Tribolium castaneum: one gene and its partner. The protein of the gene in region 1 purifies or fractionates together with the protein of each later gene. This does not show direct contact. Links are inferred from orthologs where the notes say so. Each region holds a gene or a part of one and is shown in the gene's direction. Other genes may lie near its edges.

Region 1 (5,311 bases):
ACACAGCCAACCCTGTACAAATCGAATGCCCCGCAATCCCCCCAATAATAACCCCATAAACATCCTGCAACAAATTTTTAACCAAAAATTAAAAAAATATGAAAAATTACTTCTCGGGCTCCTAAAATAATCGTTGTAAGTTGCGACCTGTCCCCCCATTCGGCTAAAAACGTTAAAGTGAACGACTGCAAGAAAATCCTCGAAATAAGGGAAAAGATACTATCGCTTTTTGGTTTTCGGGGGGCGCCTGACTCAGGGTCAGGCAACATTGCTTGTTTTTCATACTACAAATTAAATTCAAGGATTTTTAAAACCGGGGATTCCTTCACCTCCTCCTCTTTTTTGCGCAAGTCCGACTGGACCTCTTCTAACTCCTCCTGGCCTTCCCCGGGCGACATCGCGCAGCCCTCCTTTAACATCTTCAACCCGAAAATTGCAAACAAAGCTGTGCTAATGTAAAAAGTGTAGGCTCGGGGAATAACGTTGGCAAGCCATCCAAACAGAGCTAATAAAAACTTCCAATTCAATTTTTGTCCAAACTATGACTTTGAAATTAAGTTGGCGATAACTCGTTGCCAACTTAATTTCAAATCATGGGTCACTTTGCATTGAGAAAAAACTGTTATCTGTTTATTTTCTTATCACGTTTATCTTGATTAATTGCCCTAGTTGTGTAAATTCCTACCTGACAAGACTGTCATTAAGGCAAGCGCTGAAATAGCCCCTGCGAAAACAGTCGTTCTAGGATGCCTCATTGCCATGATAGCAGCTATAAAAAATGTTTTATCTCCGATCTCTGACACGAGAATAACAGAAAAAGAGGCAACGAATGCGTGAATGAAGCCGAAATTTTCCACAGCAATGATCTTTCCGGGTCCATCATCAGACGAGGCTGCGCTCTAATAAAAATATTCATTTTATTGACATAACCTCACTTTGGGGTTACTTACAGGAAGGCCATTGACTTCGGGACTCTCTTCCTTGGGTTCTAACTCCGCATAAATTGTTCTTAAATAGATTAAATATAATAAAGGCGCTACCCAAATTCGGTTTATTGAAGAGATTAATTTGCCCTTCATCGTTTTAAAATATCTTCACTAATAAAAATGAGATTAATAACTTCTGGTTGTAATCACATTCATTGGCATTTTTGATCAGAGAAATTAAAGGCAAGTTGGATTTTAATTGTTAAAAATAAATAAACTCATCACACAAACCACACTATACGGCGGTAATTTGACAACTGTCAACCAATGACAGGTTGGCAAATTTCGGAATGTGTCTAATGGCACGAACCGTGAAATTTGAATAATAATTACACAAAAACATCACATTCTATTTTAATTTATCACTACTAACATTGGTATTAACACGTTTTAAAGAAAGGTAATTAGAATTATAACTCTACGGTGTGAAAATCGTGACCTGACAATAGTGGTGGTTAAAGCAACACGCCGAGTTAAATGGAGCGAAAATTAAATTTTGGGATAAAGAAAGTGAAACAAATATTAGCATTTCTCACGCGGAAGCTAAAACCTACAATTTACTAATATGTATCATATTCTCAAAATATGGAAAGTTTGAACTGTTTATTATTTGGCGGCAATTATGCAACAGTTCGGATCAATCCAAAATTGCACGTTTGAAAACGGTATAAAACGTAGTCAAATCAGGAGAAAAGCATCAGTTTTTATTAGAATTTCACAATGAACAGAGTGGTATGTATCTGAGGGTTGAAACTATTGCTCAAATTATTGTTTTAGACGATTTTTCTTCTCCTTCTTGTGATAGCTGCGTGCCAGTCATTTTTCCTTCAAAGTAAAGACATAAAAAGGATGTTGCGGTACTTCCCCAAAGCTTTCGATATTGAAACAACGCGCAGTCGGCCTCTCCGGACCCGAAATCGAGAACCGGAACCAATTCACCATGATTACATCGATAGTTACGACAGACAAGATAATGGAGAGCCCTCAAAATACACAAAAAGTACCAAAGGACGAAACAGGAAACCAAATTACCATCACTGCGACCACCCCGATCACTACCACCACCATCACCACCCAGAAGATCGCGTACAAACGCAGCGCAATAACAAAAATACGAAATATGAAGACAGTGAGGATTACGACACTGATAAGAAGAAATATAAAAAGAAAATGATTTTGAACGAAGAAAAGGAAAATGCTGACGATCAAAAGGACAAAAAGGATTACATAACTGGAGTTTTAGTGACCATTCCGAAAATTAAAGGGAGTGGGGACGCAGAAAGTTATTTGAAAAGCGGCAAACACAATGTGTTCTTCCAGCAACCACTAAAGACTGAAGATGAGGATTATCACCACTATCACCGTCATCATATTCCAGGAGACGAAGATTTTGACTCATATTTCTATTAATTGTGAAGTTATTGATAATAAACAAACCAACTTTTTACAACACGTTTTTTTGTTCGGCCTTAATTCAAATTTGAAACAGTGGGGCCAATTGTGTCATGACTTTACAAAAATGATTTTAAAATTGTTTAAAATAAAAAAAACAGTTTGAAATGCATAATAAATGGGAATTATTCAGTGTTTTTGGTTTTAATTACTTGAAGCAAAAATTATTTAAATTTGGTTCAGGGGCGCCGCCTGGTGGTCGCTACATGTAGCACAATTTGACATAGGTTTTTGACAGTGCTTATTCATTATTTTGTATTGAATTTGTTTAAAATGGTGCGAGAAAATAAAGTTAATTTGGACACCTAACCAGGAATTGTTTCAGAGTTTCGCACTTCCGTCTGTTAAGTCAAAGCCGGGCCAGCCCGAGGACTTTTGCATCAATGAGGGCAAGTTTGGGGTCCCTGAGGCATTCACCGGTGGTTTGTCCTCTGTTAGGGCTAGCCTAGACGTGCCTCATCCCCTCATGTTGTCAGAATTGAATGTAAGAAGGTCCTTACGTGAGTCAAGTGTTGAAATTTTTGTTCCAGTATCGAAAAAATCTAGACAAAATGAACATGACAATATTGAGGAATACACAAGGTTTGCATGCCCCTCTCAGGATTGCAATGGAGCAAAAGGCGGTGAAAAAAGTGGGTCATTTGCCGTTCTTGCCCTCACACAACGTATTACATGAGTCCCTGACCGGTCGTGATATTGAAATGGATTCTACTGATGTGTTTAACACTCCAGAATTTGTTGAAATTGCTGGACTACCTCATGCTGTGGTGGAAAAATCTTTGGGGATTTTGTAGTTACGAACATTTTTTTTAATAAAATATATTTACTAAATGTAATAAATAAAAAATTAAGGCCCTCGTTCTGGTGGTATCACATTTTTGATCCACTCCAGTAATTTCTCCAGTTCATTCTTTTTCAATTCGTGTAAAGTATTGTTCAGTGGCACAAATTCCCCTTTCACTCCCAGTTTCGTAAGATTATTGAACGTCTCCTCGCCCCACTCTTGGGGCACCAGCTCGTCTCTGTCCCCATGACACATAAAAAGTGGGGTATTCACAGCTTGAATATTTTTATAAACTTCCGATTCATTGTTAAGAAACGACGATAAGGCAAACACCCCCGCCAAGCCTGGAGTGAACCTATAGGCAGTGTGTAGGGCCAGAGCGCCCCCCATGGAAAACCCCCCAATTACAATCCTGTTCAGGGGAATCCCGGCATCAATTTCTTCCGAAATCAATGATTTAATATCATGTTTTATGTCTTCCAACGTCTCGACGTGTTCAGGGACCTCAGGTGTGATGTCGTAGCGATTAAACCAAACATTACTCAACTGAAAAACAAATTGGAGTCATTTATTTCCACACTGGAGTGTCATACGGCTCCGTCTAATGGTGTATAAGGCCTCACGGGGGCTGTAGGAAAAATGAATTTAACGTGAGGTAGCGAGAAATCCCTGATTAGAAATTTGATCCAATCCAGAATTCCTTTACCCGTGTCCCCTGTAAAAACAAGGTGAAAACCTGCAACGTGATGTAACCTCTCACCTGAGCCGTGTAAAAAGATAACAGAACCGGTATTGCTGGAATTTGTTGGTTTGATGATGCGCAAGGGCTTTATTCGGGACATTTTGTGCTTATTTAAGTTTTTTGAGCAAGTGATTGATGTGTAAAATGATAAAAAGTCATCTATTATAGGCTAGTAAAGAAACACATCGTGTGTATTGCTGGTTGTCTACCATACCTGTAAGTTTTGGGGCCGGTTTATATACAGAGTGTCTAAAAATTGGTGAATTCCGAGTTCAGAGTGTCCTTCAACGCCGTTCTAGATAATTACTTCAGTAGTCCAAATATAGAAACAAAATAAAGATTCGGGGCTTCTCCACAAAGATACATTGGTTTGAAGATGCACTGAGGTGAACTATGAATTGCTTTTTCTTCAAATGCAGGCTAAAAATGTCAGTATTTATTGTTGTTTATGATGTAGTTGATTGTGGAAAATAATAATGTAAAACAATATTTCGAAAAATTGGCTTCATTTCACTTTTCCTAAAAATGAAACGACAAATTACAAAAATTTAAGATTTTTTTACATTGTTATTTTCCACAATTATCATTACTATAAATAAAAATAAACACTGAAACTTTTAGCCTGCATTGGAAAAATGCAGTTCAAAGAGTTCAAAGTGCTTCCCCACATTGGTTTGAAGGTGCACTTCAAGTGCAAATGCGTTTTCTTCAAATGCAGGCTTTTTTGTGGTTATTGTTGTTTATGATGTAGTTGATTGGGGAAAATAGTAATGTAAAACAAATTTTCGAAAAAATTGCTTCATTTTGGAGTAAAAAAAGCAATTTTTTAAAATTGTTTTACATTATTATTCTCCACAATCATCTTCACTATAAATTAAAATAAACACTGAAGCTTTTAGCTTGCACTGAAAAAAATGCATTTAAAAAAGTGATTCTCTACAATGCTCCGAACTCGGAAAACGCCAGTTTGAACCAATCAACTGCTCTGATTCACAATCTAAACCTACAATTTAATTAATTTGTTAACTTGCCCTTAATTTATTACTTTGTACTAAATAATTGAAAAATTAGAAATTTTTAGTTTAGAATTTTTATTAGATCTTTTGGTTGAGTAAGGATATTTATTCATTACTCTCATTACTGACATTATACTCATTATTTCTGAAAGTATACAGTTTTCATGCAATTAAACATTCAAGGCCAAACTGAGCCAATCAAATGCTCACATTACGGACTAATCGTACATTATGTTTTAATTCACATTTTTAAACGATCCTAAAAGTATTTCGTACTGAATTATTAAAGATAGACTGATTATTATTGTTTACGTAAGTACGGAATTTTTAT
Region 2 (4,983 bases), on another chromosome or scaffold:
TACTTAAACCGAAACTAACGTATTTTTGGTCAAACCTGGTTTAAAATCATTTTCATTAAGGGCCCTAAACAACGACGTTTCAGTATGAAGATGTCGGGGTAGAAGCGCGTCCAATGAAACAACTCCTGACTTGCCCTTATTTTAACGAGAGCCCATCTTTTATCAGCTATGAAACTAAATCAAAATTTGTTTTAATTGTACTTATAAACTTAGGTACATATCTTACCACTGTTTGTCAAAAATTAGGTAAAGAAAGTCAATGTGGTTTTCGATATCTTTTTGTATTGCCGAACTTTTCGAATCAATGTCGTTCCTTGAAGCAATTATTTGTTGGTGCAGTTTCAAAAACGACGTTATCATATTTATTACTAGAGTGTTTAGTGTTATAAGGGGTTAATTAATTTGTTATTGCTCACCTAGCAGAAGGCCAGTGACGTAGGGACCACTCATTCTGCTGAAGCACATACACTTAACGAATTGGAAGACGTGTGGTGCAAAAACTTCGTCAAATAAGACTTGAGACTTGAGTGCTTGGCTTAATAAATGGTCCAAAAACTGGGCAAGAATCTGTTCGGCGCCCTTTGCAAAACTTGTTGGTTTCATAAAGAGGAATTTTCCGGTATTCTACAAATAATAAGTGAATTAATTCCTGATGGTTTTGTGCCTAGTTTACTTTAAGTTCTTCCTCCAGTAAGTCATACTGCATTTGCTGGACGACTTGACTTGCATTTTCCCGCTCAAAATCGTAAACTGCGCCAATTGATAACTTTTTGTAACCACTCAGGTCGACAAAAAGCTGGAGAATGGAAATAATAGCAGTTTCTTTATTGGACTTGTAGGCGTCCATCAGCTCAATTGCGATGCTCTAAAAGCGATAAAATGTAGTCAGTGTAACAAAAACTGTTACCTTTACTTCTAACTGGTCAGGTTGAGTCATTATTTTAAAATAAAGGCTCTCTTCATTTTTTGGTTTCAAGGCGCTCCAGAAATTCTCCCATTTGAGAGGTTTTACAGTTCGATCTCTAATGATCGAAGCTTCTGAAGGAGCTACAAACCAGTTATGTTTATGACTATATATTTGTTTTAAACTTTACATTCGGACGGAGATGATGTTCCGTAATCGATAGTTCCACTTGTGGTATTATCGTTGTTGTTTTCATCTCCCATCGGTTCTTCTCCCCTTGAAATGGTGGAAATACTTGGGGAAGAGACATTGGGGGACCCACTCTGAGGTGTGCTGGTGGCTCGGGTGTCTTGAGATGCGCGCTCGCGCTCATCGGCACGTAAAATTCTCATTAAATGAGACATTTTTACACGAAAATAAGCAAGAAAATCACTTGAGTGGTTTTTACCGCCAAGAAAAAACGTTAGGTGCCCACAAATTGTGGAGCGGCTGTACCAGATTTGAACTGGCCAATGGAGTGCAGGATTCACCGGCCATGCTGTGAGCGCTGCCAACCCATGGTATTATGTATTTAAAACATTTTCAAAGTATTCCGTTCCTCTCAAAATAATTTGCGAATTTTGCATTCGTACCACGATGAGGATGTTGAAAGTTCAGAAATTTTGAGAATATTGGAATGCAAGGTTGAAATGTACCGGCCGTTTTGAGAACAGTGGAACCAACCAACACAAATTAAAACGTGGGAAAAGTCTTGTTTGTGTCACCTCTAATCTCTGTGTGTGGTCTGTGGTTTGTGTTTATTATTTTTTCACAATTTATACCTACGGCCTTAATCTGTATCTACGGTAAGTACAACAGTAGTCTTATTGCTATTGCTGTTTTTGTGTGGTGGGAAATTAAAGAATGAACTTGTATTATGTGGAGAAAACTAATACAAATTAGGACCTCAAAAATTTATTAGAATTAAATAAGAGTGTTTCTAGATCATTAATGGTTTAATTGATGGTTTATTATCAATTTTACAATTAATGGTGGTAGAAGTGTGGCACGACTGTTTTTCTCAGACATGTGATACCTCCAATATTAGGAGGCACTTTTATCAAGACATTTGTGCTTACATAAAGCGATTAGAAATAAAATGAAAACAAAAATATTTAAAGATTGTGGGTGCAAATTTTAAAATAAATAATAATGATAATGAACTTGGGCCGCATGGGGTAATGCAGGTGCCTGTAAGCGTCAACTGTCAAAAATTATTTGCTTGTCATTAACCTTACTTTTCCTATTCAAAATAAACATTTTTGTGGCTTGTGAGCATCATAATTATGGCCGAATTATTTAAATTCAGCCAAAAACCCAACTTGGAGGGCTTCACTTTACTGATCCCCAGTGTTTCCGTCGGGAATGTGCCCCAACTTACAATCGACTTGCTGATAACATCCCTAAATTTCAAGAAAGTGGCCACTATCTGGCACCCCGCCATCGTTTCCTCCGTGGGATCGGACCCTTATCGAACAGACGGGCCCGAAATATGCACAGCATGCGAACTATACATCAAGGAAGATTTAAAAGTAGCCCTTATTCAACTGCGTTCAGCCATAAATGCGAAACTCGCCACCAAGTTCTTCACAGACTTGAAAAACTCCCTCACGCAGTTTAAAATCAAAAGCATTGTAATTCTCGCAAGTTCTTTTGACTACGAGTTGCATGTGGTTAGTAGCAACAAATTCTACTACATCAGTAACCAGGAAATTACCGATGTGATGAAAAGCTTAAACGTGAAGCCGAAGGAAGTGGAGTTTAACGGCAAATACTTGGTCCACGGATCTGGGTTTGCAGTCAAGTTATTTGAGGTGTTGGAGAGTAATTTTGAGTGTACAGTTTTGATCAAATACGTGTCAGAGGGTGACAACAGACCTGACGCAATTGCTTGCATAAATGTGTTGAACAAGTTTGTTAACGGCTTTACAAAGTGTAATGTGACGGAGATAAAATTTCCAAGTTCGTGGAATTGTGTCTTTGGGGGACCTCCACCTCTAGGGATTTATTAAAAAAGTGTATATATTTATTATAATTGTTTTTTGCATAAATATACTTTTTGAGTATTATCATTAGTTCGTTTTTTTAACTTTTGAAGAGAAATTTAAAACTTGCTAGGGTTTTTCGCGGCGTCATAGTGGTGACAAGTCAAAAACATCAACAACTTTAATCATAACCTTAGATTTACGACTATTTAAAAGATAGGTTTTTTGCGATAAAATGGATTTTAAGTGTCGTTTTTGTTTAATTAAAACTGAACCGGGCTCCTCTGTCAACCTTTTTGAATCTGGCTTTGTTGGACGAGGTAATGAAATTATCTGCGATGCAGTAATGAGTTTTGCACCAGAAGTTAAAGTAATTCTTTTCTGTGAGTTTCCTTTATATTTGCTATGCTTTTGTGCAGATTTCTCCTGAAGATGATTTCCCACAGTCGGTGTGTAAAGAGTGTCTCCACAAACTAAACAGTTGCATTGAATTTAGAACATTGATAATAGCATCAGACGCTAAATTAAAAAACCAGAATATAATAATGAAGCTTAAGGAAGCAATCACTTCTGCGTTAAGTTTTGAAGAGCCTACTCAAGAAGAAACAATTGGCACTAAAGAAGAAGGCGCTAGTGAATTTATTGACGTTCAAAATATTTATTTGGAAGAATGTAAAGATGAAAAACTTGTACCAATTAAAAAAAAGCACAAACGCGAAGCTTGCGAAGACAAGAAACCCGTGATAAAAAAGCACAGATGTGAAGAGTGTGATTTACTATTTAGGTACAGATATCAGTATATTGCCCACAAACATAAGCACACTGGTGACATGCCTTATCGTTGCGATTTATGTGATAAGGGCTTTGGGCTGAATTACCTCTTAACCAATCATAGGAGGATCCACTTTGAGGAACGTCCCTTCAAGTGTGAGGACTGTGACAAAGCATTCAAGTAAACACCTCTTGTTAATAATTCCTCTACGTTTAAATTTTGAAGGTTTCAGAGCTGTCTGGTCCTTCACAAAAGAATCCACAAAGGAATAAAACCATACAAATGCGATTTGTGTGACAAGAGTTTCGTCCAATCAGGCGGTCTGCAGGTGCACAGGAGAAGACACACCGGGGAAAAGCCCTACGTGTGCGAGTTTTGCAGCAAAACGTTCGCAGGCTCTGATTCCCTGTGTAAGCATCTGAAGACACACCAGGACGGGCCTTCAGTGTTTTGTCCAGTTTGTGATAAGGGTTATAAGAACGAGTATTACATGAAATTGCATTTGAAGCAATGTCACACCAATGAAAAGCGTTACAGTTGTGAAATTTGTCAGAAAAAGTTTACGGCTAAGCCTAGTTTGAATGTGCATATGAGGATACACAGTGGAGTTAAGCCTTTTGAGTGTAAAGTGTGCAACAAAAGTTTTACTCAGTCTAGTGTTTTGATGAGGCATATGAGGACGCATTCAGGGGAAACCCCCTATCCCTGCAACTTGTGCGAGAAAAGGTTTGCCTACTCGCACCATCTTTTAAAACATGTGCAGAAAGAACATCCAGAGATTAGTTCTTAAATTAATTGTGTGAGAAATGTCTGTATTTTTTTTGTAAAATTTCTATAATAAAATTTATAAAAATTTCCGTGTTTTATTTGATTTCATTTTTAATGCTTAATTTTTTAACTCTTATGAGAAGAAAAAAATTATTTAAATTTTTTTCTTGTTTTGCAATGTCCTTAGTCTGATCTAATTTTTAACATTATTATTAGAAGTATAATTTGCCACAGAAACGTAAAGACTTGTACTGAGATGCAAGTTTAGACTTTTGTTTTTAGGAACAAAGAAGAAGAATATAAAAATCACGTCAGATGATTGTTTTCGAATTAACTCCACCTAAAAATGGTAGTTCTGTGACTAAATTAATTAAAAAAAGAAAGAAATACTACAATACTGTAGTACAGTAAAACCTCCTATGGACACCTCCGAATAACGGACACCTCGTCACAACGGACTTTTTTGTAGGAACGCAACAAAAACATTAGAAAATGATTAAAGAAAACCTTACAAC

What was found. The genes of interacting proteins can lie anywhere in the genome.
Region 2: the proteins of Pomp (region 1) and proteasome assembly chaperone 2 purify together in Homo sapiens (co-immunoprecipitation; 6 studies listed by BioGRID and IntAct, counting the BioPlex papers as one, with this or other methods). This does not show direct contact. The link is inferred for Tribolium castaneum from reciprocal best matches to the Homo sapiens genes POMP and PSMG2.

What each region holds. Positions count from the first base shown.
Region 1 is NC_087402.1:10,194,500-10,199,810, reverse strand, and holds Pomp (proteasome maturation protein), read left to right. Parts: upstream 1-2,608; 5' UTR 2,609-2,711; coding exon 2,712-2,714; intron 2,715-2,763; coding exon 2,764-2,922; intron 2,923-2,968; coding exon 2,969-3,232; 3' UTR 3,233-3,285; downstream 3,286-5,311. Other genes in the region: putative divalent cation/proton antiporter TMEM165, read right to left, coding at 1-64, 111-284, 330-505, 686-899, 951-1,079; uncharacterized protein LOC103312852, read left to right, coding at 1,707-1,718, 1,764-2,396; lysophospholipase-like protein 1, read right to left, coding at 3,286-3,768, 3,816-3,937, 3,983-4,064. UniProt on the Homo sapiens protein: Molecular chaperone essential for the assembly of standard proteasomes and immunoproteasomes. Degraded after completion of proteasome maturation. Mediates the association of 20S preproteasome with the endoplasmic reticulum.
Region 2 is NC_087394.1:29,412,376-29,417,358, forward strand, and holds proteasome assembly chaperone 2, read left to right. Parts: upstream 1-2,128; 5' UTR 2,129-2,229; coding exon 2,230-2,955; 3' UTR 2,956-3,015; downstream 3,016-4,983. Other genes in the region: uncharacterized protein LOC100142369, read right to left, coding at 36-174, 227-368, 417-624, 674-865, 914-1,047, 1,095-1,308; zinc finger protein OZF, read left to right, coding at 3,164-3,298, 3,348-3,880, 3,926-4,490. UniProt on the Homo sapiens protein: Chaperone protein which promotes assembly of the 20S proteasome as part of a heterodimer with PSMG1.